Macaca fascicularis: one gene and its partner. The protein of the gene in region 2 binds, or shares a complex with, the protein of the main gene of each other region. Links are inferred from orthologs where the notes say so. Each region holds a gene or a part of one and is shown on either strand. Other genes may lie near its edges. The genes, in order: CST3 and CTSK.

What was found.
Region 1: the proteins of CTSK (region 2) and CST3 are in contact, whole or in part, in a crystal structure (PDB 8V57), measured with the Mus musculus proteins. The link is inferred for Macaca fascicularis from reciprocal best matches to the Homo sapiens genes CTSK and CST3. Residues at the interface, in NP_031828.2 of Mus musculus: Asn132, Gln133, Gly134, Gln135, Cys136, Gly137, Cys139, Trp140, Glu173, Asn174, Tyr175, Cys177, Gly178, Gly179, Gly180, Tyr181, Met182, Ser248, Ala251, Ser252, Gln257, Phe258, Val274, Asn275, His276, Ala277, Ser297, Trp298, Ser301, Trp302; in NP_034106.2 of Mus musculus: Pro27, Arg28, Met29, Leu30, Gly31, Ala32, Pro33, Gln75, Leu76, Val77, Ala78, Val80, Asn81, Tyr122, Pro125, Trp126, Lys127, Thr133.

What each region holds. Positions count from the first base shown.
Region 1 is NC_088384.1:63,661,845-63,678,414, reverse strand, and holds CST3 (cystatin-C), read right to left. Parts: upstream 7,297-16,570; 5' UTR 7,205-7,296; coding exon 6,962-7,204; intron 4,737-6,961; coding exon 4,623-4,736; intron 3,421-4,622; coding exon 3,337-3,420; 3' UTR 3,083-3,336; downstream 1-3,082. UniProt on the Homo sapiens protein: As an inhibitor of cysteine proteinases, this protein is thought to serve an important physiological role as a local regulator of this enzyme activity.
Region 2 is NC_088375.1:110,433,517-110,449,555, forward strand, and holds CTSK (cathepsin K), read left to right. Parts: upstream 1-2,478; 5' UTR 2,479-2,523; intron 2,524-3,328; exon of another isoform or gene 3,329-3,560; intron 3,561-3,877; 5' UTR 3,878-3,878; coding exon 3,879-3,998; intron 3,999-4,460; coding exon 4,461-4,583; intron 4,584-4,668; coding exon 4,669-4,824; intron 4,825-6,439; coding exon 6,440-6,658; intron 6,659-11,272; coding exon 11,273-11,438; intron 11,439-11,704; coding exon 11,705-11,810; intron 11,811-14,093; coding exon 14,094-14,193; 3' UTR 14,194-14,763; downstream 14,764-16,039. UniProt on the Homo sapiens protein: Thiol protease involved in osteoclastic bone resorption and may participate partially in the disorder of bone remodeling. Displays potent endoprotease activity against fibrinogen at acid pH. May play an important role in extracellular matrix degradation.

The DNA of each region.
Region 1 (16,570 bases), on a different chromosome or scaffold from region 2:
CCAGGATTAAATTTCACAGAAAATACAAAAGATGCATAAAATTTACTCTCCGAAGACCATCAGAAAAGCAGGAATATATTGCAAGATGCATGGTATTCTAAAATGAAAGACTCAAATGTTCAACGTTGTCAATTTTTTTTCCAAAAAAATATATTTCTACTTATTGAACCTGAGAAAACAGTTTCATTTGGAGGAACAAATACATTCAGAAAACAAAATTTTGGGGGAATAAAGAATAAACAGAATGGAGAATGGTTCTTACCTAAAAGACATAAAAATATTGTATTTAAAATGGAGTAATTAAAAAAAATGGAAAAGCACAAGGCAGATTTAGGACTGAGATCATGAAACTGACCTATGGTTATGGAAACTTGCTGTGGGCTGTCAATTGGAGCGGCTCTGGGAGGTCTCTTGTGGAGGCTAAGGCCACTCCATCTTGGATGCCAATGCTGAGCCTCAGTTCCATCAATGCTTCTAAGATTTCTATTTCATCTGCTGTTTGCTGCAAATCCAGCCCTTAGGTAAATTCCTTCTGAAGCTCCTATACCCTTTCCCCTATGGCACAGAAGCCCAGGGTCTGGGTAACGGGATGGGGACCCACTGTCTTGCGGCCACGCAGGACATGGCTTCTGCTCGCTAGTCCCGGTTACAACTTTCTTTCTAAGAAACTAGACTTGTCAGCCTTTCTTTGGCCTCTCAGCTCCCTTGGACTTTGAGGGCAGGCGTGTGCAGGCTTGCCATCGAGGAACACCCTGCCAGCCTGACCGTCCTGGGGATAGGGATCCTTCTGCAGAGGCTGGCTTCCTTCAGGGCAAGAATGCTAGGGAGCTCGGAAGCTACTGGGCCCTTCCTGATCCCGCCCTGATGCTCACCAGCATCACAATGCAAGAGGTGTCAAAGCACCATGTTATAAAGCCACCGGTGTAGAACCAGATCAATGAAAAAGCCTCTCCAACTTCCTGTTTATTCAGAGCCAGGCCCTGTAATGAATCTATTCATATGGATAACTGTAGGTGAAGTATATACTTAAACCAACTTTTAAAATAAATGTAAAAGTAACTCTTGGCCGGGCGCGGTGGCTCACACCTGTAATCCCAGCACTTTGGGAGGCCGAGACGGGCAGATCACGAGGTCAGGAGATCGAGATCATCCTGGCTAACACGGTGAAACCCCGTCTCTACTAAAAAATGCAAAAAACTAGCCGGGCGCCGTGGCGGGCGCCTGTAGTCCTAGCTACTAGGGAGGCTGAGGCAGGAGAATGGTGTAAACCCGGGAGGCGGAGCTTGCAGTGAGCTGAGATCCGGCCACTGCACTCCAGCCTGGGCAACAGAGCGAGACTCCGTCTCAAAAAAAAAAAAAAAAAAAAAAAGTAACTCTTGCAGATGAAAGGTGCAAGGGCGAAGCCTCCTCTCCAGGATGTGCTGGTCACAGTAACCTCTGGGTCCGAGGGGCTTCTGGCTCACTGGCCTCATGGGGCTCCAAGGGAGGCATTTACAGGCCTGATGGCTGTGGAGGAGACGCAGGGGTGGCACCAACCTGCTTCCCTGTCGGCTGTGGGCCATGGGGCCAACGGCTGGAGGGCAGGGAAGGGAGGAGACATACAGGGAGATTGGGGAGTCCTGTGTACAGCCCCCACCCCACCTCAACTCCCCCAGGGAAGAAGTGTGTCAGAAAAGGGACTGGGCTACACAGTCAGCTGTTCATTTCCACTGTGTGCCTGGATGGTCATTGTATGTGTCATAGGAGATCCTTTACCCAGGTAGAAAGCCAGGAGCACCTCCCTGCAGGGACTCTTTACCCCTGACCCCAACCACCACTTCTATCCCCCAATCCCCAACAGAAAACTGAGTCACTAAGTCCACCCACCCCCAGCAGAGTGAGACCAGACTCAAGTCTCCTCAGCTTATGGCCTCCTAGGCATTGTTACACTTTCCTCACCCCAAATACCCTGTTAAAGCAAGTCAGGGTGGAGAGGAAATGGAAGCAGATGCTCCCCACTCTCCCCGCCGTGTCCCCTGCTCTGGCTTTGCAGGGACAGCATGTCCTTGGGGCTACTGGGGTGGATTTTCGTCATTTCACCTTCAGTGTTCATGGCAGTGGCCAAAAGTGGGTGTCAGTGCAGCTTGGAGCTTGGAAGGTACCTGGGAGCCCTGCCCTAGCAGCACTGGCTGTGAGGGCTGCACCCCTGTCCTGAAATGGCAAAGGGAAGGACCATGCAGGGTGGGCTGCGTCCTAGGACTGTAGCCTCCTGCTTGTGGCAAAGATCCACTATTCTATAGGATGATGCTGACATGAAGGGAATGTTCTCTCTTAATCTTTGGAAAAAGAAGAGTCCACTGCATTGTCAGTCTCATTTGTGCTTTAACTTCATCCCTACCATGAAGCTGGACACAACTTGTTTTAAATCCAAGTCCAGAGAAAGGGCTGGTGGCCATGAGCCTGTAAAACTCTCTGAGGACACAGCCTCCCAGTATGGATGACAGCAGGTGCTGCTTTCTCTGGGTGATCTTGCCGGTCTCTGGCCTGGTTGACATTTCTCCCGCTCAGTTACACACATAGGCTTTTTGGACTTTGTTTCCATGTAGGGGCCTAAGTCTCTTGGAAAGAAACACACATCGATCACTATCTATTTAGTGTCTAGGGGAATGATGAGAGCAGCTCAGTCCCTGGAGTCTGCTCAACTCTGCAAGCACAGATGGAACCTACGGCCTGGCGAGCTCCACCGAGGCCTGGCCTCTGCCTGTGGACACAGCCAGCCCCCTCCTCCTGGTCTGACCAGGAGCTCAGACCAAAGCGCCAGCCCAGCTTCTGGGGTCAGCAGCCTGGGCACCCTGCTCTCCCTGAACCCCTCACCAGGGGCCGCTGTGGCTGAATGCCTGGGTTCCCAGCCCCGGGCTGCTCTCTCCTTGCTCTGAGATTCAGGTCTCCTATAGCAGCAGCTCCCCTGACAGCCTTGCTGTGGCTGTGTCAGCTCCCAGGTACTCCTCTGATCTCCACACCAGCAGGATGAGGCGGCTTCATAAAGGAACTGTGGAAACCCTGCCTGTGTGCACATCCCCAGACAGCCAAGAACTCAAAGGGAGCCGATGCTACTGTTTTATTGCAGGAGGTGGGGGCGTGTCACCGCGCACAGGGGCTGTGAGAAGCAAGAAGGAAGGAGGGAGGGTGGAGCCCCCTGCTGAGTAACAAAGGCCGCCTGCTGCCTTTTCTGTCTCCTGGCGCAGGCACATGGGGAGACCTTCCCGAGGACGGGGGCCACCAGTCCAGGGGTGGGAATACAGGGGGTGGGAGGTGTGCGTAAGAGGTGATAGGCACAGGCCAGCCTGGTACAGACTCCTAGGCATCCTGACAGGTGGATTTCGACAAGGTCATTGTGCCCTGCCAAGGCACAGTGTAGATCTGGAAAGAGCAGAATGCTTTCTGTGAAAGAAAACAGAGGGGACAATCAGTGTGGGTTACAGTTCAAAGCGGAAGGTGCCCAGGCACAGGACATCAGAGTGGGAGTGAAGGATGGAGGTGAAACACTGGCCCTTACCTACCCCTCCACCCACCCTTGCTGATCCCAGAGCACTGCTGGACTCGGCAGTGACTGCTCCACCCCTCTCCCAGGGCTCCAGCTCCACCAGGTGGCACTGGGCCACCACCTCAGCCTGCAGGATTCCTGCCCCAGCACAGCCCTATGAGGAGCGGCCTGTGCAAGGCCTCGGGAACCATAAGGGTGCAGAGCAGGGGAAGGCAGCTCACTGTCCCCAGCTCCTACCACCTCCAGCACCCAAGTCAGCACTAAGAGGGGCCAGAGGGAAGAAACCAGGGAACTGGCAATTGCAACTCATAGTGCTTGGAGTGGTAAGGAGATGGACAAGGAGCGTGTGACTCTCCCCTGAGGAGAGACGCCACAAGAAATCCTGGGTCCTTGGAGAAGCTGGTGTTGGGTAAGCTGGGGCAGGTCTGAGGGTTTGGCTGCTAACAGGCCTCTAGTACCCTCTAATCTGCTCAGCGTGGCTGTGGCTGCGGGCACGTGCCTGAGGCTGGGGTTAGACAGAGCCGCTTCTCTGTGCGCAGCACCCAGCCCTGCAGCTGCTTCCTACAGTCCAGCAGGCAACACTCCAAAGCACACAGGGTGGGGCTTCCAGTACCCCCATTCCCAAGCTAAAGCCCTCTTAGCAAATCAGATTCATCAGCCCTCTCCACACCGCCTCATCTACACACACATAGGCCTCCACATGAACTCACCCCAACCCTCACCCACACGGATCTATGCATGAATCCACATACTCCCTCACACCTCTACCCACATGCACACACACAGTGCAGGCACTTCCTCATACAGCATGTATGCGCACAGAACCCCCACACATATGTGCACACGCATGCGCACTCACACACCCACACACATCCGTGCATAGACCCCCACACCTCCCCAAAACATCACACACCCACTAGCACACACTCATATAACCTCCCCACACAAACCTATACATGGAAACACATGTGCATCTCCATATGTACACACACTCAGGCACACGCACACATACCCTCCAGAACATGTACATCACATACACACACACACACACACCCCTCTGCAGTGTATGACTGGCCCTGGACCCACATGAGGCACATACCCTCTTCAGATGTGGCTGTTCATGGAAGGGGCAGTTGTCCAAGTTGGGCTGGGTCTTGGTACATGTGGTTCGGCCCAACTCCACGTCCAAGAAGTAGTTCACCCCAGCTACGATCTACACATGTGAAAGAGCAGGAGGCAGGGACAGCACGCTCTGTCAGTTTCTTACACACACAGGCACTTCACTGTGACTGGGTCACTGGGCTTGCCTGGGGCTTCAAGCCTACCTTCACGAGCTACCCACACTGTCACTTGCAAGGCACACAAGCCACCTCCTCCTGCCAGCTGGCAGGGATGCCATGCCCCAGGCTTCCCTGGTAACTTGTTTTCTCTATGCCAATGCCAAGGATTAACTGAATTCTGCTACCTATGACCCAGGGGGCAGGGACACTGGATCTATTCTAGGAAGGCTCTCATGTGATGATGAAATTTTGGCAAACTTCCAGTTCCTGGCATTCAGTCCACAGAGCATCTCATTCCTCTCATTTAACCCAGAGGTATTTTTCCTCATTTATCAATAGGAGATGAGATGCTCACATACATTGATGTTTTAGGCCAATAAACTGCTTCCCACATGCCTCCATTCCAGGTGTGATTTTGGAGGCAGTATTTCCAAAGTGAGTCTTACGGTTGCAACTTCAGAAGAGAACTGAATGCTTTCCCTGCACAGTGCCACCCCCAGACATGACTTGTGAGAACTGTGGAGAAGCATGGGATGAGGGACCCTGAGACCAGGGTGCTAGACCTTGCCCTGTGGAGCCACACACAAGTCCTGTAGAACCACATGCAAGTCCTGTGATCCCTCCGGTGTCAGTCTGCTGCTCTGTAAAATAGGTTCCAGGGTCCTACAATGCCCCGTGCTTCACTCCCAGTGAGAGAGGGGTGCAGGCCAGCGGGGACCCTACACCAGGGAACAGGGAGAGGACCCCAGCTGACGGCTGCAGGAGGAGAAACGGGGCTGGTCTAGACTCCTCTGAATTTCCAACAGAAGGTGGAGGAGCTCTAAAGTCTGTGTCACTGTTTGTTGCTCTGCCATGGGATGCAGGTCAAGCTGGACCTGGTAGCCCTACTGAAGCTCCCCCCCCGATCTGACCCCCTACTCCGCTCTGCTGGGTGACTGCTGTCCTCATCTGGCTGAGGTCTAACTCTGCATCAGCTGGTAGAAGCAGGGTCAGGCATGCTCCACCCCAGCAGGAATTCAGCTGCCCTGGGCTGTAGGGGGTGGTCATTCGGCCTGAGGGTGAAGGCCCCTAGTCCTAGAGGGCTGTGCCCAGGGGTGTGACTTGGGAAGGGAAGCAGGGCTCTGCAGGACAAGGAGCCAGGCTCAGGTGTGGCCCCTATGGAGAGGACTCCGGGAGGAAGACGAGCCTCATGGTCTGGATCTCATCCTGACCAGCACCAAGCCCACCCAGAGTCAGCACAGTCTCCACCCACACCTGCTGGATCCTGGGAAATGGCACGGTCATGGTACAGACCCAGCGGCTGCTGCAGGTGAAAAGAGGCAGAGGGGACAGGACAGGGCTGAACTCATGTACTCCTGGCCCGGGAGCGTCCTAAGGCATGAAGCCCGTCAGCAGTCAGGGAAAGCTGAATGAGTCTGAGCATTAGACCATGAATGTGTCAGTGCTGATTTTCAAAATGGAATCGTGGTTATGTGAGATACTGCCCTTGTTTTAAGGAAAAACACACTGAAGTGTTTACTCTCAAAAGATTCAGGCAAAAAAATGCATATACAGTACATATACACACACCCATATTCACATTCGGAAAGTGAGCTGGGGGAACAAACGGCAAAATGTTAACATCCGTGCTAACATCTGAAGGATCTGGGTGAAAGATCTACAGGGATGCCCTGTACTATATCTGCAGCTGCTCTGTAAGTCAGAAATTATGTGAGAATAAAAAGTTAAACTAAAGTGTTTAAAAATTATTTGGCGGAAGAACAAGGAGGCAGCCAGATGAGGGGCTCTGTTTTTTCCTTCTCCTGCGTATTCAGCAGCGCACCCGGAGCCCCGCGTCCCAGGAGGCCTGGACAGAGTTGGGTGGGACGTCCTGTGCCTGCCCCCGCGCTGCGGCGCCGCTCGAGCTGGCGCCTGGAAGCAGATCTCAGGCGCCGGGCGCGGACCTGGCGTGTCCTTGCGGTTCCAAGCCAGACAAGACTCGGGGCATTCCCAGACACGCCCGCCAAGGGCTCCAGGGTGACAGCGAAGACCGGGAACAGGGTCTGGGTGAGAAGCCCAGGTGCCGGGGGAAGGAGCAGCCCCGGGGGTCCGGGAGCGGCGCGGGGCAGGCTGGGGCGGCGGGGCCAGGGTTCGGGACCCTGCGGGGGGCGGCACGCACCTGCTTGCGGGCGCGCACCACCTGCAGCGCGCGGCTGTGGTACATGTCGTTGCTGGCTTTGTTGTACTCGCTGACGGCAAAGTCCAGGGCACGCCGCACACCCTCCTCCTCCACGCTGGCGTCCATGGGGCCGCCCACTAGGCGCGGCGGCTTCCCGGGACTTGCTCCGGCCGCGGGGCTCACTGCCAGAGCCACGGCCAGGATGGCCAGCAGGAGCAGCGGGGCGCGCAGAGGCCCTGCCATTGTCGGCTAGGACGCGGGACACGGAGAGTGGGGCGCAGGCGAGAGGCTTGAGCTACTGACAGAGGACCCAGTGCGATCCCGAGGCCGTGAACACTGCGGGGCCAGCGGCTGCGCTTTTATCCCTTCTGGCCTTCCCCGCCCCTCGCGCCCTGCGCTTCCTTTTCCGGAACGCCTAGTCCCTCCCGCTTCCCCTCTCCCTTCCCACCTCCCCTACCTCTCCCCGCCTCCCGGTCCCTCCCTACCAATCTCCTCCCCTCCCTGCCTCCCCTGCCATCCTGGCCTCCCTGGCCCTCCCCATCGATCCCCTTCCCTCCCCATCCATCCCCTCTCCTCCCCTCCCAGCCCCTCCCGGCCTCCCCCCTCCCTTCCCGCCTCCCCCTCCCTTCCCGCCTCCCCCTCCCTTCCCGCCTCCCCTCTCCCTCCGCTCCTCCCCTGCCCCCTAGCCTCCCTGTCCCTCCCTATCCATCCCCTCCCCTCCCCTCTCCCTCTTCGCCTGCTCTCTTCCTCCCAGCCTCCCCTGCCCCTCCTATCCTCCCCATTCTTCCCCATCCATCCCAGACCATTCCAGCCTCCCCACTTCAGGCCCCTCCATGCTTCCCCTCTTCAGGCTCCTTCTCCTCTATCCGTTTCCCCTTTCAACCCCCAGACACCGCCTCCCCTGCCCCTCCTCTCCCTCCTCCACTCTTGTCCTTGCTCCCACTTCACCCCCAAGCTCTGCCCTTCTTTATTGCCCCTCCCTTGTTCCACCCCTCCTCTGTCTTCCCTTCCTACCCACCCCTGGCCTCTCCCTGTCTCTGTCCCTCCTATCCTCTTCTTTCCCCTTTTCTAACTCCACTCCTGGTCCCTCTTCCCCCACCCCTTCTACACCCACGCCCCCCTCCTACCCACTCCATCCCCTCAGCTCCATCTCATCTCATAGACCTGTCCCTCCTCCCAAGCTTAGGTCACCCTGCCTTCCAGAGAGGTGTCAAGTCCCCCTGAGCCCTAAAAGCATGCGACCCCCTAGCTTCATTTCCTCAGAAAAGGGAAGGATAGAGGTCTTGGCCTTCCGGAGTCGTCGGAGGTCCCGAGTATCCGCGAGCATTTGGTCAAGGTCTAGAAATCACTGAGGCAGAGATGTGATTCCAGAGGCTGCAGAAGACTCAGGCCATGCCCTGTGCTAGGGGACTTTTCAAACAGAAGAATTAACCTTTATTTGAGTAAAAAACTCTGGGTTCTCCTTTCACAATTCCTTATTATTCAACAAACAGACTTGTCACCAGCTTCCCCCTGCACCAGGTGGTGTAGGAACTAGAGACGGAGCCTGGGTGACCGAGCCGTGGACACAACATTGCAGGGCTGCTGCCAGACAGAGATGTGACGCAAACCTGGGAGCAATTTAAAACTTTCTAGGAGACACATTTCAAAAAGTAAAAAAGAAACAGGTGAAGGTAATGTTTATAATATTTCTTACTTAACCCAATATATCCAAAATATTATTTCAACACATAAGAAGAATCATTAATAACATAGGTTATTTTATTTTGGGTGTGTATACTGAGTCTTTGAAATTCCCTGTGTATTTTTTACACCTAGAGTGGGTGTCAATTATACTGGCCCTATTTCAAGCGCCCTGTGGCCACATGTGGCTGTGGCACTGCACAGCCCAGCATTAGGGTGTGTGGGAGGATGGCGAATAGTGATCAATAATTAACATCAGGAAATTAGTCTCTCTGTTGGAAGTGAAAGTATGGGATAGAAAGAGGTGATGCCACTGGACCTGGTCAGGGAGGTCTCTATGAGACTGGAACGGTGACAAGCCCTGCCTACATGGGAAACAGAGCCCCGGGCAGCAGGAAGGGCCAGTGCAAAGGCCCTGAGGTGGGACTGGGCATGCCTGCTCCAGGAAGAGGAAGCTCCTGGAGGGGGTGTGAGCAGGGAAGGGAACGACCTGGAGTCTCATGGTAACTGTGGGTGGGGCTGGGTGGAAGGTGCAAGGAGACCCCTGGCAGGCAGTGGGGGTGTCAGGAGAGGGAGCAGCAGCTGCGGGATGAATGTGGGAGCCCACGGGTGTCTCTTGCTCCTCCCCTCTGGGCATCACACTGCCGGCGCTGGTCCTCTGCACTGCTTGGAAAACTCACCTGAGTTTAGAACATCGCTGTGAATGAGGTAGAACTTACAGACAACAAAATGTCTAATATGGGGGATTTCATTAATGCATATACCCGTGTTACCACTTTGTCCAGACCTGTGACGTCTGCCTTGCCCCAGATGGCGTCCTTCTGCCTCTGCAGCTCACCCTCATGCCCACCACTGGCAGACCCCATCTGGCCCTATAGACTCCTTTGTTGCCTGTCCTTGAGCTTCCCAGGAATGGAGTCCTGCAGAGCGAGCCTGGGTGTATCTTCCTCCTTTGCTCAGCGTGGCTTTCTAGAGGCCCCTGAGTTGTTTCATGGCCAGGACTGTGAGTTCTCCTTCTCCCCAGACTGAGAGGACCTGATCAGCAGGGTGCCCTGTGGGGTGACAAAGTCCCCAGCTCGGGATGCTGCGGGCCTGGGCTGGAAAGTGACTCCAGGAGTGGGGAGGGTGGAAGGAGGCTCTGAACAGACAGCTGTTCCCTTTGTTGTCTCAACCCCACCCTCCACGCCTGAAGGTGACCCTGTGGCAAATGTCCTTATGGCGAGGTGGCAGCTTGGCCAGAAACACCAGGAAACCCTGGGCCTTTGCAGGGCACCCAGAGGACTCTCCTGGAAGTGGTCGAGGTGAGGGTCGGCAAGGATCAGCCCAGACCTGCTGTGATCCTGGGGCTCGGCCATGGCTGGGGCTGGATCAGCAGGAACCCGGCAGTGGGAACAATATTACTCATGGGTGCTCACGTTCAGTGGTAGGACAGGGGACCTTGTTACTTGAGGTCTGTTGACCATCTCACCCCACTGCGAATCTAGCACCCTTAGAAAAGCCATGCAGCCCAGCAGATACAGCAGGTGGCCCAGGGATGGTGGTTACTGCTGGGTGAGGGAGGGAAGGTCTTCAAACAGGGCTGCACATATGCCTCCTAGTTAGACAGGACGTGGGGAGAGATTCCCAGAGAGGGAAAGAGAGGGCAGCCCCTGGCCAGGTGCTTGTGAGCAGAATGGTCATCTCCCAAGTATGGGAGTTGGTTCTTCTCTGTGGCTCCCACCTTCCCTGACCACTGGGGCTCGAGTCTCAGGAGGATGTGTTGTGCAGAGGGTAAACTGAAATACACACAAATCCCCTGTCTTTTGTCATTAGAAAAGAGGTGCAGGTCACCCAGATAGCAGGAGCATGGTGGTAGGTGGGGTGTGAGGTGGGAGCTGGAGTGCTAGCCTATTTCCCTGTATGTGATGCCTCTGCCAGTGGTCATCCTCTGTCAGGATGTGCCCTGCAGGCACCTGCTGCAGGGAGAGTCAGCTGGCCTGATGCAGCGACCTCTCTAACCCTTGTAGGACAGACACCAGTGTAGGGTGCTCTCAGGAGCCGCAGGAGCCATGTTCAGTATGCTGTAGTAGGAAGTGAAAGGTTACAGTAGCTGGGCAGCTGCTCCTGATATTTGGTGACCTTGAGCAAATGTTTTGCCTTCTCTGTGGTCATGTGTCTGAAGAGGTGGGCTGCCTTGTAAACTGTTGTGCCTGGGCATCAGTGATGATGTTTAAACATGATTAAAAGTGACAGAGCAGCCTACAGCTTCAAAGACATGCTAGCAGAGACACAGAGAGAAACAATGGACCTAGGACTGAGCCTGGGGTATCCAGCACCCGTGTAACTTGGAGGAGTCCAGCTGCCAAGGAGGGGGCATGTTTCTCTTCTGCCAGGTGATGAAAGAGAAAACCATGTTCTCCCAGGCTGCCTTTTTGATTATTGATCCCATTATCTGAATTAGCACAGTGAGAAATTGGGTAAATGGCAGAAATTCTCTGTAATAAATAAGCAATAATAACAACACTAAACAATGCTATAATAAATAAATGACCAAACACATAAACAGCACCTAAAGGTGCTACTGGTTAAATCAAGTTGGCCAAGAGTTGAGATTCTGCACTTTGGGTTTTGAGCAATTAGCACTCAGTGTCTACAGTAGGAGCTTGGACTAAACAGCCACAGGATTTGGTCGCTTCTCAAAGCCGAAGCCCAGGAGCCTTCTTTATGGAGTGCCCGGAGTTCTCTGGGGTCAAGCCTGTCCCTTACACACACGCTCCCTCCTTGTCCCCTCTCTCTCCCCAACAATGGAGGACATGCGGATGCTTGCCTCTAGACTGTGGGCCAATGTTGGTAATGCATTTGGCTCCAATAGAGATGATGCCACATCATTAGGAAACTGATACGCACAGGAAGCCTGCTGGCAGCCTTGCAGACAGAGATGAGAATGGGCAGAGCCCAGTGTCTGCGGTCTGTTTTGCACTTCATGGGGGGATGAGAATCCTTGGGACATTTCTGCTCAGGAGCCAGTGTGTAAACGGTGCTCATCGTTTTGGATTATAGGGTTAACATTTATTTTCTCAAGGAGTGCATTCACCAGAGCAGAGCCAGTGACTGAAGAACCGCATCTGAGTGGAAGGGAGAGAGAGAGGCCTCCAGGGACACAGGCTGCTAGCTGGTGCTGCCAGGGCTCCACCTGACTCCCTGTAGAGACCTGGCCAGAAAGAAAACAGATGGCTCTGAGCGGGTTGAGCAATCCCTTTGGCATCTCTGAGTGGTCAGTTTCCTTTCTAGATCCACCTTCTTGTAACCCTTCCCTCTTAGTGTTTCTGCAGCTTTGAATATCCGTTCCTTTAGCAGAGTTCCGTAACCTGGGAGAGTGATTCCTGTTCCTGCCCAGGATCCTGCTAAGCTGACTCACTGGGTGCTGGAGCTGGAGACCCAGGCCTCCTGCTGCATCTTGTCAGAATCCTGCTAAGTTAGTTCAGCCAGCACTCCCTTCCCTTGATGTCTGCTTAGTAACTTTCTACATGCCAATATCACTCCTCCACACCATGTTCCTTGGCTGTAAATCCCACTTATTCTCGTTGTGTTCAGGGTTGAGCTCTATCTCTCTCTTACTGCAATAGTGTTGACCCCCACTGCGACAGTCTTGAATCAAGTCTCCCTTACCATTTTAATAAGTGTCTACGGAATATTTTTTTAACAGTAGAAGCCAGCGAGGCCAAAACTCTGCCCTACCAGAAAATCCTGTTGCCAAGTAAGAGTAAGGGGCTTGGAGGACTAGAAGCAAACAAAGAATGGGAAGAGTGCAGATGGAGTGGGGGTGATGGGAAAGGGATGGGTGTAGGGTAAGGTGGAGCTGTGGGGGTGTGGCATGTGTTTCCCCCTATAGTTTATTATGAAAATATTTAAACATTCATCAAAGTTAGAGTAATTTTACAGCAAACACCTATCTACCCACCGCCATGATTCTGTCATTAATATTAGACTTTAATTTTTTTCTCACCTGTCTACTGCTCTGTCCCTCTAAACATCCTCAATCCGTCTTTTTAAAAATGCATTTTGTAGTAGGTTGCAGACATTAGTATACTCCACTCTTAAACACGTGTTAGTATGCATATCATGAACTCGAGCTCATCATTTATTTATACCTTTTTCATTTGTTATAAAATTTACCTATAGTGAAATGCACATATCTGAAGCATACATTCACTAAATTTTGACAAAGTCACACTCTATCAGATACAGAGCATGATCACCCCCCAGAAAGTTCCCTCGTCCCCTTTTCCAGTCAATTGGGGGCCTCATTTCTGAGACAGCCACTGCACCATGCTTCATTCACTATTGATGAGTTTTGTTTATTGCAGAAGTGCATGCAGACAGATTTTTACATCATGTAGACTTTTATGCTTGCCATTTTTTCACTCAGCATGATGTTTTTGAGATATATCCATGTTAGACAGCATATTCATACATAAGTCTTCGATTGCCACACATGAGGCTCCTGACACTCGCAGCCCTGGATTTCAGACAGCATTTGCTGAGGAGGCAGCTCTAGAGCACTTGGAGCTTTTGCCACTGCTTCCCCTTTCTCCTTTCTAATCTGGACCAACTGCCCTGCCCTACCCCCACTCTCCCTGCTCCTTCTCTTTCATCTCTCTCTTTCTCCTAAGGTTACTTTGACTTTTTGCTCCAAGCAGAATCTAGAATGGGGAAAAAGTGTCACCATCAATGGAGTAAACCCAGTTTTCGAAGATAACGAACAGATTTCTCCAACTCTTCTCCATATTTGAAAATAAAAGTTCTTGTATTTTTAGAATCAAATTTATACATGCTCATTACAAAAATGAATAAGAAAATGAATAAAAGTGTAAGAAAAATAAATTACATGTGTGCATGTGAGTTCGTGTGCTTATGCTTCTGTGCATGTGCCTGTGTGTGTACACATGTGTGCATGTGAGTTTGTGTGCACATGCTTCTGTGCATGTGCCTGTGTGTGTGCACGTGTGCATGTGTGCATTTTCACCAAAATGAGATCATGTGGTGGTTATAATTTCATGTTGCTTTTTAAAAACTTCATTATGTCATGAACATTTTTCATATTGTTAAATTGTCTTTGAAAGTTTTGTTTCATTTCCTATTCTGAGTATCCCATAGTTTAGGTGTTAATTTTTTGCTAATGGTAGACTGTTAGGCTATTTCAATTTTTTTTCTAGTATGAATAATATTGTGATACACACTCTTACAGAAAAAAAAATCTTGGTGCATAGGTTGTTTTCTTCCCAGAAGTGAAATTTTTGAGTCGGGGGCTACAAAGTTGTTGTTGTTGTTGTTGTTGTTGTTGTTTTAATGAATCTTGAAAAAAGACTGCCAATAGCTCTTCAGAGAGATACACTGCCTCAGTCAGGTCCAACTAGCCATGAGGCAGTTCTAGTGGCCAACTGCAGCAGTCTGTGCTTTATCTTAGGTGTGAATGTTGGTGAGTGTAACTGTCCTCAGTTGTCATTGCTGGGCCTGAGACCATGGGTGGTCCTACCTAAAGGGCAACGCTCTTTCTAGGCATCGTTTGCGTCTGAATCACATCATGGTAGACTCATCTTGTTCTTACTGATCCTTTATAATAGGCATTACCTTTTTCATTCTTTCACTTAGTTTAGTAAATATTCATTGAACACCTACCATGTGAGATTCTGACTTTAATGAGGTAAAAGGTACGTTTGTGCTTTCAAGAAGTCCTGGGTCTGTAAAGAGAAAGCCATCTAAACAGATATTTCAACACAGCGTGGTGCAGGTCATCACAGGACACTAAAAGGTGCAGACACCAGTGCCACAGCTCCAACCCCAGGGGTCTCCTGAGGCACATCGGGGGCTTTAACCCCAACGCTGCACGCATGTCTCCAGCATGGATGTCTCCAGCATGAACTCCTGATGAACCTCCAAGTCCATCTCAGTGCCCTTCTCCTGGATGGCTCCAGACACTCCAGGCCACCCAGGCCTTCAGCTGCATGTGGGGCCTACCCCTCCACCTCCCTCACTCCCAGCCTCTCCTGCTCAGTAAGGGCTGCTCCACCTTTCTGGTTGCTCAAGCTAAAACCTGGAGTCCCCCTTCACCAACTTTTCTTCTCTGATTTATCAGGGAATGTTGCCGGTTCCACCTTCAAAACACATCTAGATGATCTGTTCACTGCCTTTACTTTCATGGGCACCACTGGGCCAGACCACTGCCAGCTGTAGGCAGCATCTGACGGGTAGCCCCAGCAGCCCATGCTCACCTCTGAAGCCCAGGGCTCCTTTTACAACCTCAATCGAATCACACTACTCTTCTGTTCAAAATTCTCAGGCCACATGTGGCTCTTGAGCACTGAGATGTGGCTGGCACATTTGTGGTTTCATTGAATATTCATTAGCTTAAGTTTAAGCCACATGAGGCCTGTGGCTGCTGTGCTGAATGGTGAAGTTCTAATGGTTTCAATCTCACTCAGAGTAAAAGCCAAAGACCTCCCAATGGGTTCACAAAGCCCTCATGATCTGCCTGCCATATTCTGACCTCCTGTCTTACTGCTCTTCTTGCTGCTCCTGGAAGGTACGAAGCATACTCCTGCCTCAGGGTCTTTGCACAAACCGATTCCTATGCCTGCAGATCTGTGGTTCTCTTCCTCACCTCCTTCACTCTTTTTATAAAGGTCAACCTCAAAACAAGGAAACATAGAGCCAGTGGAAGTAGCACCAGAAACGTCCAATATCAGGCAGGTAATGGTTAATTTATGTCTAATTTATTCAAGAAGAAAGATTTTATGAAAAGAAGAATGAGTGTTAGCCTGAGTCCCCTCCTAGACCATGACTCCTTGCCTGTGGGGGTCCCTAAGTGGGCCCAAACATCCTTGGCCACACAGTGTAACACCTGCACGCTTGTAACTAGAGCAGTTGTGGCCACATGTCTGTGCATGAAGCACTCGTGGTGATTTTCAAGATAAAGAGGAAGTAAGTGGAAAATAGCTATTTGGGAAGGCTGGAATATGGGCCAAAGAAAACAGTATAAAATTAAAGCATAGAGTAGTTTTATCTGGGGGAAGAGAATGAATGTATCATGCTAACATATATGTCTAATGCATTAACCTGGTTCAAGTTAACTTGCAGGAGTGAAAGAAAAATAAAATACATAATGAAAATGAAAATTTTTGTTTTACTTTCATTTATTCCTTCTCTAATGCTCTCGTTTTCTTCATGTAGATCGAATTTTTGATTTATATTGTTTTCCTTCTTGGAGAACAAGACCCAAAGTGATTCATAGGCAAGTTTGAGAAGCACTGTGTCAGGTGCCTGAGGCATGGCACTGGGTCATAAAAGCTGGTAAAGAAAAACAATTCTGTTCCCTAAATTGCAGCTATAGTAACCACAGGGACAGAATTCTGAAACAGCAAGGAATGGGCGGTTAGGATTCCTCAGACTCCTCTACTGCAGTGTCCTTCGCTTACTGGCACTTGAGAAAGGAATGTAGTAGTAGAGTGTTTGAGACTGCATTTTTTGCCTTTACTTTTTGAGATAGGATCTCACTCTGTCACCCAGGCTGGAGCGCAGTGGCACCATCTTGGCTCACTGCCATCTCTACCTCCAGAGCTCAAGTGATCCTCCCACCTCAGCCTCCTGAGTAGCTGGGACTACAAGTGCACACCACCATATCCAGCTGATTTTGTATTTTTTTTTGTAGAGACGAGGTTTTGCCATGTTGCCCAAGCTGGTCTCAAACTCCTGGGCTCAAGCAATTCACCTGTTTCAGCCTCTCAAAGAGCTGGGATTATAGGTATTAGCCGCCATGCCTGGCCCTAAGGCTGTGTTTTGAAAGATTTCCAACTTACAGAAAAGTCGCAAAAAGAGATGGTCAGTTTTATTTGTCCTCTTGGGTAGACTATAGTCCCCAGGTTTTCAACCAAACACTAATATAAGTCT
Region 2 (16,039 bases):
CAACAGGGTCACTTGGTAATTAACAATAGCCATATAAATGCGGATACAGGTTACTACCCTCACCGTTTACCTTCCTCAGGTAATAGTCGAAGATACCAGCTTTTTTTTTTTTAAATTGGCTTTGGCCAGTAGCTAAAGTGCAAGACTGAATTAATGAGAAGATATATTAAATGTAGTCATAGGGGACTGAGGAGCAAGGATGGCCTTGAAGAGGCCAAAGTAATGTCCATTTGCTGGGTTTCCCTTCCTTTTGTCTCCAGTCCGGTGCCAGGTAGTGGAGTAAAAAAGGAGACAGTTTATTTTTTTATTCTATGTGCACACTTACAGTATACATATATATTTATATCACAATTTATGAAACCAAAAAGTTGAGTTTCCAATGGAACCCTTGTTTTTTAATAATCGACTGTTTTTAAATGTGATCAGGACTATAATGTTGTACAGTTATTATAGGGCTTTTGGGGAAGGGGAGGATAGCGAGAAGATGCTCTGGGGGTTTTGTTTTTGCTTTTCCTTCAGGGTTTTATTTTTGATTGTTTTGTTTTCTTGTTGGCCATTTCTGTATTGCTGGCATCTGTGCTAAGCCTTACAGTGGCAAAAATAATGACATGTAGCAAAGATTTTGAAACAAAATATTTTTTTCCTTTTGTAAAATTTATTGTGTTGTGTGATCTTGATTGCGGCTTTATCATTCCTTTCCAGTTCATAAACAACAGGCACCCACAACTAGAGGAATCTATAGTTTAAGCTCCAGACATACAAACATAAGGCACATTGTGTCTTTAATTTCAGGAATCAGAAATCATAGGGTTCTGATCACACTGCACGCCTCCCCCTCACTTGTCCTCCTGATCCTGACACATTCTGAGTAACATCAGCAGGAATGCTCTGATCATAAGGTGGGGATTTTGGGGTGGGCACTGCCTGGGTTCTTGGGAGAGAGGGAAAGAGTTGGGACTTGAAAACCACCAGGGCACATCTGGATGCCTTCCCCCAGTATGTCCTCTTCTGGATTAAAATGAGTGAAATTTAAACTGTTTAAGTCTGGACCTGGTTTCCCTCTAGGAGACTATGTTGGTTCATTAGCAACATATATATATATATATATATGTTTTTTTTTTTTTTTTTTAATGAGAGAGAGAATCTCACTGTGTCACCCAGGCTGGAGTACAGTGGCATTATCTTGGCTCACTGCAACCTCTGCCCCTTGGGTTCAAGCAATTATTCTGCCTCAGCTTCCCAAGTAGCTGGGACTACAGATGTGTGCCACCATGCCCAGCTAATTTTTGTATTATTTTTAGTAGAGATGGGGTTTCACTATATGTTGGCCAGGCTAGTCTCGAACTCCTGACCTCAGGTGATCCACCTGCTTTGGCCTTTCAAAGGCTTGGGATTACAGGCGTGAACCACCGCACCTAGCCCATTAGCAGCTCTTAAAATCCAGAGGCATAAGCCTGTACTCTTGAGGGTTTATGCATTGAATCCAGCTAGAAACTGAGTCTATTACAGATCCCATTTATTATCCTTTCTATTCCAAGAAGCCTTTTTTCCTCCTTCCCCACATCTGTTTATGGAAGAAAATGAAGTTTGGGGTGTGGTTTGAGGACTCAGCGAGATTCTTATGATCTGTCACATGCCTGGATGTTGGGGAAGCATTTGGAGAAGCTCATGTGACTTGTCCTAGATTGGGGATTTTAATTGAGACAGATGATGTTTATCGGGCATCCCACCACCTGAGGGTTTTAGCAACAGAGTCACATGGGAGTCCATCAGAACTTATGGCACTGATTCAAGTGCTGTCATAGATAACCAGGACTGCTGTTTTTGGTTACTTTTAAAGACAGTTTCATCTGGACTTTCTGGGTATATCCTTCAGCAAAACCACATTAGGCTGGGAAAGCTATTCTCCTTCCTGGAAGTAATGACAACTTGCAACCAACAAGCTTACAAAAATACAAAGAATTCTGGAGCGTATGGCTTCCATTACATTATTCTTTTATAGCCTTTTATGTTCATTCCCGCATCCCAGAGGTGAGGGTCAGACACAAATTTGAAAATAGGTTTCAATGTTGGAGAGGTAAATCATAACAGGAAAGGGGTAGGAAAAGATGTAATCCCCCAGTGTTATAATAAAGATATTGAAGAAGAAGGATGGGAGAGACTAGGGCTGTGTCCTTCCTTTTACTCACCAAAAGAGAAGGTAAGCTCCTATTTGAGTCAATAGATACTGAGGTCTTGTTATTTGCCACCAAAGACAGTCTTGTGAGATTAAATACCTAGCAACTCCCTACCCTGGCACACATGCTGCACACACACACGAACACTACAAATCCACTGACTCCTTCCCTCCTCCCTACCCTTCCTTCTCTCAGCATTTCTATCCCCGCCTCCTCCTCTTACCCAAATTTTCCAGCCGACCACTGGAGCTGACTTCCGCAATCCTGATGGAATAAATCTGGCACCCCTGATGGTCTGCCCACACTTCGCTGCCGAAACGAAGCCTGACAACAGTTCCATCAGCAGGTAACATTTGCAACTTCCTAGATCTTTTAGCTTTTCATTCCTGTCAGTTCTCTAAGAGTATTAGGGATGTAGTGACTTGAGAATCACAATGAACTTTTAGCCTTTGCAGATGAAAACTGAGATGCACTTCTTAGATCATTCCCTGGCTAAATAAAATCTGCCTGGAAGTCTGTAGAATTCCTTGTATGATTTATATATATATATACATGGTTGTAAGTAAAAGCAAAGTATGTAGGGAATCATTTGCCTATCCTTCAAGGGTGGCCTTTCTGCAGTGTTTTCTACTTTGGCCAACAAGGATCAAAAGGGTTAACTCCCTAGTGAGGAGGAGGAGGAGAGTGGTATGGGGAGGTGGTAGCTCAGTGCTTCCTGTTTGCTGAAACATCTCAAAGCCCTTAACACTCTAACTTTTAAGTGTCCTACTGGACATTTTGCCAGTTTGAAAAAATTACATGTAAATGGACTATAAGCAATTGTGTAAGCCATATGACATGCTGCAAGCTGCAAATTGTTCTTAAAATGGAGGAGTTGTAATTAAGCAAGCCAATGCAAGAAATGAGTGAAGCTAGCTAAACTTATGAAAAGCTGTGAATTTAATAATCATAGAACATTGCTTTTCAGTCTGAACATTCTTCTAACAAACCTTGGATCTGAGGCTCCTTGTCCTGTGCGGCAGCCACAGTGGTTTTTTGTTGTTAGGGGAAAAATAAAAAACCTTGCCCGCAGCATCTGGTTAAGATTAGGGCAGTTTCCTGCCTAAGGAGGGAGGGGAGAGCAAAAGGAGGAAGAAATGCATAAGGAGAATGAGGAGATAGAAAATGTCTCAGAAAACAGGAAACATTGTCATATTTTCCCTTGTCCTCTTCTGACAAGATCTGGGAAAGTACCAGAATTTAGGCAAGAAAGAGAAAAATGCCTCGAAGAAATGATCAGGAAGCAAAACTTAGATGGAAATCTCTCCTTTGTGTATTCTGAACCCCACTACCACCTTGCTCTTTATCTGTCTCCAAGCCTGCTGAGGACCCTGGAGGAAACAGGCACTGAGCCCATTCTGATTGTCCAGTTTCTATCCTATTTCTGGTTGTGTAAGTGTGTGTTTTTGTGTGAGAGAGAGCGAGAGACAGAGAGTGTGTGTGTGTTGGTTAAATCTCCCGAGAGAGAGAGAAATGGCTACATCTGCCTAGATCAAAACTTGGAACCAGATGTACCAGCACCCTATCTAAACACAGGTCCCTCCTGACTATCATTGATTTATCACCCTTTCTCTGTCTACCTTCCTCTTCCTCATAAAGCCTAGTTTTCCTTGGTTTCCCTGCCAAATGGAAGAGTTTTCCCTAATTACATTCTTCTGCAGGATGTGGGGGCTCAAGGTTCTGCTGCTACCTGTGATGAGCTTTGCTCTGTACCCTGAGGAGATACTGGACACCCACTGGGAGTTATGGAAGAAGACCCACAGGAAGCAATACAACAGCAAGGTGCCTGGGGTCCTGAAGGGGGCATGGCAGGAGGGCTGAGACTTGAGCTCTCCCATCTTAGCTGCAGACTCCCTTCTTCAATCCAAATGCTTTATTCCTAGCAAATCAGTCCCTCTTTCCTAACTCACGTTAACATACGGTTTTCATTCCTATGCTTCAAATCATCCTCTGTCAAATTGTATCCTACCTTTGCTTTATAAGTGTGTTACATTTCTCTTTTGGGAAGATTTCTAAGATTAATGCTATTCATCTATAAGCATTTTTTCTGTCTCTCCAGAGCTTTGTGTTGTATTTCTTTACGTATTATCTCTTCTTGCAGGCCTTAATAATTCCATGGTTAGTTCCCCAACTAAACTGTAAAGTTTTATGATTGTGAGTTTCCTTTATTCTCCTAAAACCCTTCACAATATGACATATGTAACTGTACACGGTCTATACAAGTACTGACTATGCTTTGTTTAGGTGGATGAAATCTCTCGGCGTTTAATTTGGGAAAAAAACCTGAAGTATATTTCCATCCATAACCTTGAGGCTTCTCTTGGTGTCCATACATATGAACTGGCTATGAACCATTTGGGGGACATGGTAAGTACAGCCTCAGCTCCTGTCCCACCTGCACCGTTTGCTTTAGTTCCCTGCTGATGCCTGGCCTCTTTCTTCTTTGTCTCAGACCAATGAAGAGGTGGTTCAGAAGATGACTGGACTCAAAGTACCCGCCTCTCATTCCCGCAGTAATGACACCCTTTATATCCCAGACTGGGAAGGTAGAGCCCCAGACTCTGTCGACTATCGAAAGAAAGGATATGTTACTCCTGTCAAAAATCAGGTACTCTCCTTTCTTCTGGGTGTGCATATGTAATCTGGCATGACCTTTTCCTTTTTCTGCTGCTTTGTTCTTGAGGTGAAAGGGCACCAGGAAGAGAGGGCAAGGGATTAAGGTACATCTCCCCATTCCGTTATTTAACCTCATTTGTTTCTGTACATTTGGGTTGTTTCTGGTTTTTCTTTTTCCTTTCCTTTTTTTTTTTTTTGAGATAGAGTGTCACTCTGTCGCCCAGGGTGGAGTGCAGTGGTGCAATCTTGGCTCACTGCAACCTACACCTCCCGGTTTCAAGCGATTCTCCTGCCTCAGCCTCCCGAGTAGCTGAGGTTACAGCACGCACCACTACGCCTGGCTAATTTTTCTGTTTTTATAGAGATGGGATTTCACCTTGTTGGCCAGGCTGGTCTTGAACTCCTGACCTCAGGTGATCCACCTGCCTTGGCCTCCCAAAGTGCTGGGATTACAGTCGTGAGCCACCGCGGCCTGGTTTTTCTTTATTACAAATAGTGTTGCAGTAAGCACCCTTGTGCATATATTTTTGTGCACATGTACAAATATTTATGCAAAACAAGTCCTAAAATTGGAATTGCTGGGTCACAGTCCTTTCCCCCCGCAAAAAATTATTATTATTGTTATTTTTTTTTTTGAGACAGAGTCTCTGTCACCCAGGCTGGAGTCCAGTGGCGCAATCATGGCTCACTGCAGCCTCAACCTCTCAGGTTCAAGTGATTCTCCAACCTCAGCCTCTGTAGTAACTGGGACTACAGGCACATGCCACCACACCCATCTAATTTTTAAAAAATTTTTTGTAGAGACAGGGTTTTGCCATGCTGCCTAGGCTGGTCTCAAATTCCTGGGCTCAAGCAATCTGCCTGCCTCGGCCTCCCAAAGTGCTAGGATTACAGACATGAGCCACAATACCCAGCCCCAAAAAGTTTTTGCAATCTTACATTCTTACTAGCATGAGAATGTCAGTTTTTTCACAACCCAAACAACACAGGATTGTATCAGCAAGATAAACAATTGATTTAACGTTCATATAACAAACACTTTTTGACCCCCAGAACCAACCAGGTGCAGTGTTAGGCAGCAGAGATTCAAGATGACTAAGACACAACCTGTGTCCTCAGGAAATCTCAATCTAAAAAAACAGAATAGGAAAGAAAGAAAAACCTACAATCTAGCTGCATGAACAATAATAGCTAATACTTCTTGAGATTTTATTGTGTGTCAGGAACTTCTTAGCTCTTTACATGACTTAAATATTTTAATCTTCATAACAATATTTTATACATAGAGAAACTGAGACACAGGCAAGTTTAGTAACTTACCCAGGGTCACATAGCGACTGGGTGGCAAAGTCAGGGTTAGAACCCAGGACAACTGCCTCCAAAGCTGGTACTGTGCACTGCTTTACTGTAGCTAATAGTAAAAATGGTAGCAAAAATCAATAGCAGTAGAACAATGCATCAGATGTTAAGGGGAAGAGAAAGACTCACAACAAAGACAACATTTGTGCTGAAATTTTTAGAACACATGGAATTTCTTCAGGCAGGTAGAGAGAAGATATAGAAAATATAAACAGCAAAGATTGATAGTTTCTCTGTATGCCTCTCAGGGTCAGTGTGGTTCCTGTTGGGCTTTTAGCTCTGTGGGTGCCCTGGAGGGCCAACTCAAGAAGAAAACTGGCAAACTCTTAAATCTGAGTCCCCAGAACCTAGTGGATTGTGTGTCTGAGAATGATGGCTGCGGAGGGGGCTACATGACCAATGCCTTCCAATATGTGCAGAAGAACCGGGGTATTGACTCTGAAGATGCCTACCCATATGTGGGACAGGTGAGATTGCTCCACACAATTATACAGCTCTGTCGGCTCCTCCTTCCCCAGCATGATATTTTGTACTAGAAACAATTCCAGAAATACTGTTTTCTGTTACCCTACCCTGCTTTCTTGATGGAATAATTTCCCACAGAAGACTAAGAAGATTTCCACAATCTGGGGGAACTTAGGGAGCTTAAGCTACTATAGTTCCTATTTGCCTCTCTGCCATGGAGAGAAAATAGAGGCTAGGCCACCTACCCCATAGACTTCTGAGCAGGGTTCTATAACCCTTTGCTCAATTCCTCACTCCCACAACAAACCCACAAACCCACCATGCCATTGTGTGGCTTTATTTTATATGATCTCAGTGTGAGTTTTCAGAACATTTAAGGAAGTTATGTAAGTTTACATGCTAACATGTAAAAAATGAGAGAAAAAACAAGTTGCTTCATATTAGAGATAAGGGATTAATTCAGTTCCTCCTGCATGATCCTCTAGTCATAGGAAGGAAATCGTATCTGAAAGGGAGGCAACCTGAGGGTCTTTTTATACACATAGGGCTGGGACTGATAGATAATATAATGTGGGGCCTTCACAACAGAAACCTCTGAAATAGGCATAGCAAGTTTGAGAATAAAAATGATGGCTACTGTGTTCTAAGCCATGTCCTTAGTGCATTTTTTCTTTTTCTTTTTTTCATTTAATCTCATAACAACTCTGTAAGGTAGACTTATCTTCAATGTATATGTGAGGAAATGGACACTTAAGGAGATAAGACACTGTAATTCATACCAGTAGTATGTAGCAAAGGTAAGATGTATCTACTAGGGATGTTTATCTTTAGCAAACATTCCTAGGTATGTCTCCCATACACATGTGCAAGAATTTCTTACTAGGATATAATGACTTGGAACTGAATTGTCTGGGTCTTAGGGTATATCTATTTTCAACTTTACTACATAATGTCAAATTGTTTGCCAAAATATTTGGAAAAATTTATACCTGCAATGTATAAGAAATCCCATTGAATCACCTTTTTATCAGTGTGTTTATCTGGCCATTTGCATTTCTTCTTCAATGAATTAACTGTTTTTATCTTTTGCTCATTTGTTTTTCTTTTTATTTATTTGAAACAGGGTCTTACTGTGTTGCCCAGGCTGGAGTGTGGTGGTACAGTCATAGTTCACTGCAGCCTCCACTTCCTGGGCTCAAGCAATCCTGTCACCTCGATCTCCCAAATAGCTAGGATATAGGTGTATGCCGTCATGCCCACCAATTTCAAAAATCGTTGAATTTTTTTTTGTTGTTGAGGCTAGGCATGGTGGCTCATGCCTGTAATCCCAGCATTTTGGGAGGCTGAGGCGGGAGGATCACTTAAGCCCAGGAGTTCCAGATCAGCCTGGTACAACATAGCAAGACTTCATCTCTACAGAAAATCTTTTTAAAAGCAGCCAGGTATGGGCCGGGCGCGGTGGCTCAAGCCTGTAATCCCAGCACTTTGGGAGGCCGAGATGGGCGGATCACAAGGTCAGGAGATCGAGACCATCCTGGCTAACCCGGTGAAACCCCGTCTCTACTAAAAAATACAAAAAACTAGCCAGGCGAGGTGGTGGGCGCCTGTAGTCCCAGCTACTCAGGAGGCTGAGGCAGGAGAATGGCGTGAACCCGGGAGGCGGAGCTTGCAGTGAGCTGAGATCCGGCCGCTGTACTCCAGCCTGGGCGACAGAGCGAGACTCCGTCTCAAAAAAAAAAAAAAAAAAAAGTAGCCAGGTATGATGGCGTGCACCTGTAGTCCTAGCTACTCAGGAGGCTGGTTGGGAGGACAACTTGAGCCTGGGAGTTCAAGGCTGCTGTGAGCTATGATCATGTCACTGCTCTCTAGCCTGGGTGACAGAGTGAGACCCTGTCCCGAAAAACAATAAAAATTTTTTTTGATAGAGACATTGTCTCACTACGTTGTCAAGGCTGGTCTCAAACTCCTAGGCTCAAGCAATCCTCCCACCTCCCAAAGTGCTGGGATTACATATGTGAGCCACCATGCCTGGCCTACCTCTTTTTTTTTTTTTTTTGAAATGGAGTTTTGCTTTTGTTGCCTAGGTTTGAGTGCAGTGATGCGATCTTGGCTCCCTGCAACCTCCATCTCCTGGGTTCAAGCGATTCTCCTGCTTCAGCCTCCTGAGTAGCTGGGATTATAGGCACCCACTACCATGCCGAGCTAGTTTTTGTATTTTTAGTAGAGACAGGGTTTCACCATGTTGACCAGGCTGGTCTTGAACTCCTGACCTCAGGTGATCCACCCGCCTCGGCCTCCCAAAGTGCTGGGATTACAGGTGTGAGCCACCGTACCCCACCTCTTACCCATTTTTAATTGGGTTGTTTTTTCTCTTTCTTAGCAATTCTTAAAAGTTTAAAAAGACTATTTGGATACCAGTACTATGTATTTAAAAGTTGAGGTTTGTCTTTTCATTCTCTTTATGTCTTTCAATCTAGAAAAGTTAATTTTAATATAGTAAAATGATTAATTTTCCTTTGCAATTTTTGCAATGTGTTTTATTCATTTATGAATGGAGAAAGGTAAGAAAAAACAAAATTTAAAAAAGAAGAGATCTGGCCAGGTATGGTGGCTCACACCTATAATCCCAGTACTTTGGGAGACTGAGGCAGGCAGAGCACTTGAGGTCAGGAGTTTGCGACCAGCAGGGATAGCATGGTGAAACCCCATCTCTACTAAAAATACAAAAATTAGCCAGGTGTGATGGCATACACCTGTAATCCCAGCTACTCGGCAGGCTAAGGCAGGAGAATTGCTCGAACCCAGGAGGCAGAGGTTGCAGTGAGCCAAGATCATGCCATTGCACGCCAGCCTGGATGACAGAGACTCTGTCTCAAAAAATAAAAAGATAAAAAAGAAGAGATCTGATAGGGCAGCAGCCAGATAACATTTTAAAGGGATGGTATTATAAGTTTGTTCCAGCTATAATGCAGGTTATTCTGACTTTAAAGTATCATCACATAACATCTTTTTTTTTTTTTTTTTTTTTTGAGACGGAGTCTCACGCTGTTGCCCAGGCTGGAGTGCAGTGGCGTGATCTCGGCTCACTGCAAGCTCCGCCTCCCGGGTTCCCGCCATTCTCCTGCCTCAGCCTCCTGAGTAGCTGGGACTACAGGCGCCCGCCACCGCGCCCGGCTAATTTTTTGTATTTTTAGTAGAGACGGGGTTTCACTGTGGTCTCGATCTCCTGACCTTGTGATCCGCCCGCCTCGGCCTCCCAAAGTGCTGGGATTACAGGCGTGAGCCACCGCGCCCGGCCCATAACATCTTTTTGAGTCAGTTTCCAAGATATTCTGTTTCACTTGTAATTCTGTGTAGTTTTTGGCACCAGGAGGCATCAGGGATTTGGAGCACATGGCAGAAACAAAGGCATATTGAAAAATATCAAGGCAGTAGACCACTGTAATCTTAAAATAGCACAGCAAATGCTATTGCTGTTAATATTTAGATAATGTTAGATAACGTATTTTTTTAGAGGATATTTCACTATCTTACACAGGCTGGAGTGGAGTGGCTATTCACAGCATGATCATAGTACACTAAAGCCTCAAACTCCTGAGCACAAACAATCCTCCTGCCTCAGCCTCCTGAGTAGTAGATAGTATATTCTTGTGGATGCAACCTTAGGGTTCTGAAGGGGTAGTCTGTAGGAAAATGAATTGCTGAAAAGAATACACCACCTTGACATGGGCTATTATTCGATTCCATAATTGTGGCTTCCCAATGAAATATTGCTAACTACCTGTAAAATATAGTGTTGGAAGTCATAGGCTAAATTGCTAAGTTCTTTAATCTATTTTAGCGTCATGTTATGTACTTTCATATTTCGTCTTTGATGAGAGCACAAGGATCACACCAGTTCCCCTGATATAGGTGCAGAGGGCCCAGGTCTTCCCTCTAGCTAAACCTTGACCTTGGCCTCCTGTCCACACAGAAGCTGGTGCCTTCCTGCCCCCTGAGGCTAATACATACTATGTGGCCAGAAGATGGTTTATGCTTTTAAAAAAAATCTTATTTCAGAAATCTTTCCCTACTGTTTTACAGGTTTTCCTCCCACATTTATGTCTTAAAACACCTGTAGTTGATTTTTTTTTTTTTTTTTTTTTTGAGCTGGAGTCTCGCTCTCACCCAGGCTGGAGTGCAGTGGCACGATCTTGGCTCACTGCAAGCTCTGCCTCCCAGGTTCACGCCATTTTCCTGCCTCAGCCTCCCGAGTAGCTGGGATTACAGGCACCCACTACCGTGCCTGGCTAGTTTTTTTGTATTTTTTTTAGTAGAGACGGGATTTCACCGTGTTAGCCAGGATGGTCTCGATCTCCTGACCTCGTGATCCACCCGCCTCGACCTCCCAAGGTGCTGGGATTACAGGCGTGAGCCACCGCGCCCGGCCTGTAGTTGATTTTTATGTGTGGTGGAAGGCGGGAATCCTCTTTTCATATTCTTTTTTGTGAGGAAGAACAGACCCTCTCTAGAAACCCTAGACTGCTGCATCACTCAAAATATTGGTTGAGTTTCTCACTCACTGACTCATTGCCTATTGCTTTGTCCTACTTCTATTACAATCTTGTTTCTTCCAGGAGGAGAGCTGTATGTACAACCCAACAGGCAAGGCAGCTAAATGCAGAGGGTACAGAGAGATCCCCGAGGGGAATGAGAAAGCCCTGAAGAGGGCAGTGGCCCGAGTGGGACCTGTCTCTGTGGCCATTGATGCAAGCCTGACCTCCTTCCAGTTTTACAGCAAAGGTAAGAAGCTGCTGATCCTATAGATCACTGTCTTTTATGATACAAGCTTGATGGCTTCTCGAAGGACCTTGGGTATTTTCAGTACTAGTTTTTGTATTCAGATGGAGGCAGCCAGAGAGAAATTAATTGCTGCAGTACGGAGCAGCATCTCTGTGGTAAACCCTCCTGACAGGGATGGAATTCTACAGAGAGTCTCCTGGACTGGGAGATCCCACAGGGTGACCCTTGGATTGCATAGAGCCTCACACTGATAGTTTGTATTCTAGGTGTGTATTATGATGAAAGCTGCAATAGCGATAATCTGAACCATGCGGTTTTGGCAGTGGGATATGGAATCCAGAAGGGAAACAAGCACTGGATAATTAAAAACAGGTAATGATGGGAACACTACTTTTGTTATTCAATCACCCTTTTAACACTCAACCTCACCTCTAGCTTCCCGATATTCCTTTCTCTGTCCCAAATCAAGAAAAAATTATCTCAGGCTTCTCACTTCTATCTTCTCAGTCAGAGGCTCTTAATTCTGAGTCCAACACTTAATGGCCAGTGTGTTAGTCCATTTTGCATTACTACAAAAGAATACCCGAGACTGGGTAATTTATAAAGAAACGAGGTTTGTTTAGCTATACGAAGCATGGCACTAGTATCCGCTCAGCTTCTGATGAGGCCTTGGAGCTTTTTCTCATGGCAGAAGGCAAAAGGGGGAGCAAGCATGTCACATAGTGAGAGAGGGAGCAAGAGAGAGAGGGAGGTGCCAACTCTTTAAAGAACCAGCTCTTGCATGAACTAATAGAGTGAGAACTCACTTATCACCAAGGCGATAGCACCAAGCCATTCATGAGGAATCCACTCCCATAACCCAGACACCTCCCACTACACCCCACCTCCTACATTGGGGATCACATTTCAGCATGAAACTGGGAGGGGACACACATCTAAACCATATCCGCCAGACAATAGTGCTCAATTATGTGCTGGGCACATACTCCCTGTGTGCAAGATGCTTAGTGACATACACAAACCAATGAGCAGGTGACACCTTCAGTGAGCTCAGAGCCCAGTAAGATAGACGTAACTAACCATGAGATAAAGCAGTACAGAGAATCAGCAGGAGCTTTGAAATTACATATTTTTACTTTCTTTTGTCTCTAATATGATCAGTTTCTTAGGGTGGTTTCCATTAGCAGTCTGTCTTTAACAACAGGGCAACAGCGTAAAGGTTTAATACTCCTTTGAACAGTTTTTTCCCTTCAAGATACACTTAGGATACACGTATATAAGAACTTGCCAAAGATTGTGAAGAGAAACATTTTTTAGAAATAAGATATAAACAAAAAAAGTTGGTGTTTACTTTCCTGTGTTGGGGAACAAAGAAAACTCCAGGGTACCTTGTTTTCCATTTCTCTTTAGCACCTTGTGACTTTTGGGGAGGGGCAGATTGATAAGAATTATAGTTTTCCTTTCCTGGCTGATCACCATTAACCTGGCAGCAGCACTGGCTAAATCTGCTGTCCTTAGTGCCCTCCAAGGAACAGGAGCCCTAGACTCTGGGGAGCTCACAGACTCACGCAGTGGTGTTGTTCAAACCTGAAGCAACTTTTTATATCACAGTTCCAACTCAAGATGAACCTGAGCATCTTCCCAAGTCTCCCACAGCTTCTGTCCTGTGTTGTCCCTTCTCTTGACTCCCAGCTCTAAGCACTTACCCTGTTCTTTCATGATCAGGTGCCATGTGTGGAGATACTTCCAAGAGAGCTGGGAGGAAGAAAGGACATACCCGGGCAGGATCAGGAACACTGGGGGCCCCTAGAGAAGGGGAGAGTGGGGATAGAGTACAGGTTTTAAATAAAATGTATTGGGTAATTAGAGAAGTTGCTGCTTGGGGAAAGAGGACTGAAAACAATTCAAGAAGATATACAGACAGTCTCTCCTCTCTCCTCTTTCTCTCTCCTGTGTCTCACGTCATCTCTCATGTCTTCTAGTCTCGCCACTCATTTCCTTAATAATCTCATCTACTCTCATAGTTTCATCCATCTCTTCTATAGGGTTTACTCCCCAATCAAAAGCACCAGCTACAGCCTCTTTCTTATGCTCTAAACTTACATTTTCAAGATTAATCTTCCCCAAATACAGCTCTGATCATATCACTCTCCCACTCAAAATCCCTTACTGGCTCCTCCACTATGATGGGTCACAGAGTAAAGGTGAAGCTGTTTAACCTTGCAGTAAAGGTAATTCAACCTGGTCTCAATCCGCCTTTCCAGACATCTCTCCCACTACACCCTGTTAGGCACACTGTTTTTCAGCTACATGATCCTAACAGTGCCCCACACTTTCCTGCCTCTATTGTTCATTTCACACCCTTCCACTGGCATCCCCTTCCCACAGGTCGAAATTCTACTCAGCCTTTTGGCTCAGCTTAAATGCCATCTCTTACATCAAGCCTCTGAGATTCTCTTGATCAGAAGGAATCTTCCCTCCTTTGATACCTGTAGTATTATGCCTTCTTCCTATTTCTTGACTTTAAACTCTTTAAAGGTAAAAACCATCATATTCATTTTTGTGTACCATCAGTATCTCGCACAATACTCAGTAAATATTTTAATGAATAAATAAACTAAGAGTACTAAGTACTTTTCTTGATTGGTCTTACAGCTGGGGAGAAAACTGGGGAAACAAAGGATATATCCTCATGGCTCGAAATAAGAACAACGCCTGTGGCATTGCCAACCTGGCCAGCTTCCCCAAGATGTGACTCCAGCCAGCCAAACCATCCTGCTTTTCCATTTCTTCCGCAATGGTGCAGTGTAACGATGCACTTTGGAAGGGAGTTGGTGTGCGATTTTTGAAGCAGATGTGGTGATGCTGAGATTGTCTGTTCAGTTTCCCCATTTGTTTGTGCTTCAAATGATCCTTCCTACTTTGCTTCTCTCCACCCATGACTTTTTTCACTGTGGCCATCAGGACTTTCCCTGACAGGTGTGTACTCTTAGGCTAAGAGATATGACTACAGCCTGCCCCTGACTGTGTTGTCCCAGGGCTGATGCTGTACAGGTAGAGGCTGGAGATTTTCACATAGGTTAGATCCTCATTCACAGGACTAGTTAGCTTTAAGCACCCTAGAGGACTAGGGTGACCTGACTTCTCACTTCCTAAGTTCCCTTCTGTATCCTCAAGGTAGAAATGTCTGTGTTTTCCACTCCAGTTCATAAATCTATTCATAAATCTTTGGTACAAGTTTACATGATAAAAAGAAATGTGATTTATCTTCCCTTCTTTGCATTTTTGAAATAAAGTATTTATCTCTTGTCTACAGTTTAATAAATAGCATCTAGTACACATTCATTTTGTGTTGGATACTGTGCTAGGTGCTGGAAGAAAAAAGATGAATAGAACGTTTTCTCTGTACTTGTTGCACTCACGGTCTGGTTGTAGAGACTGTCACATAAACAATTCATCCCAATTCATTTATTTGTTCATTCCTTCAGCCAATATATATTGAGTGCTTACTCTGTACCAAGAACTGTACTACATTTCTGGGATTAAGTGGATATAAGGAAATCTCAATGTTTAATTCTGCCTGAGGGGAGACATGAGGCGTGACATGGAAACTTGAGTCTTGAAAAACATTGTAAGGTTAGTTTTTCTTTTCTGTCTCTCTCGCTCTGCCTCTTTCTCTCTCTGTCGTCAGGGTCTCCCTCTGTTGCCCAGGCTGGAGTCAGTGGCACTCATAGCTCACTGCAGCCTTGATCTCCTGGGCTCAAGAGTTCTTCCCACCTCAGCCTCCTAAGTAGCTTGGACTACTGTGAACACCGCCATGCTTAGCTGATTTTTTAAAAATTATTTTTTGGGAGACTGAGGTGAGAGGATCACCTGAGCCCAGCAGTTTGAGACCAGCTTGTCTCCCTATGTTGGCCGCCTCGGCCTCCCAAAGTGCTGGAATTATAGGTGTGGGCCACTGCATCCAACATGACACTGTTGTTAATATGGCTATAATCCCCAAATTGATCTACAGAATCAACACAATTTGTATTAAAATCCCAGCTGGCTTCCTTGCAGAAATTGGCAAGCTGACTCTAAGATTCATATGGACATTCAAGGGCTTCAGAAATAGCCAAAACAACCTTGAAAAAGAACAAAGTTGGAGGACTTGCACTTCTCAGTTTCAAAACTTAACTTCATACCAATAGTAGTCAAGACAATGTGGCATAGGATAGGCATATAGATCAATGGAATAGAATTAAGGGTGTAGAAATAAACCACATTCAACTGACATGGGGTGCCAAGACAATTCAAGGTGGGAAAGAATAGTCTTTTCAAAAAATCATGCTGGACAACCAAATAACAACATGGAGAGGAATGAAGTTGGAACACTACTCCATCTCATATAAAACATTAATTCAAAATGGCTAAAAACCTAAAGGTAAAAGCTAAAACTCTTAGAAAACACAGGGGTAAATCATCCTGACCTTGAATTAGGCAGTGGTTATGACACCACAGCACAAGCAACAACAACAGAAAATTAGGGCTGGGCGCCGTGGCTCATGCCTGTAATCCCAGCACTCTGAAAGTCTGAGGTGGGCAGATCACCTGAGGTCAGG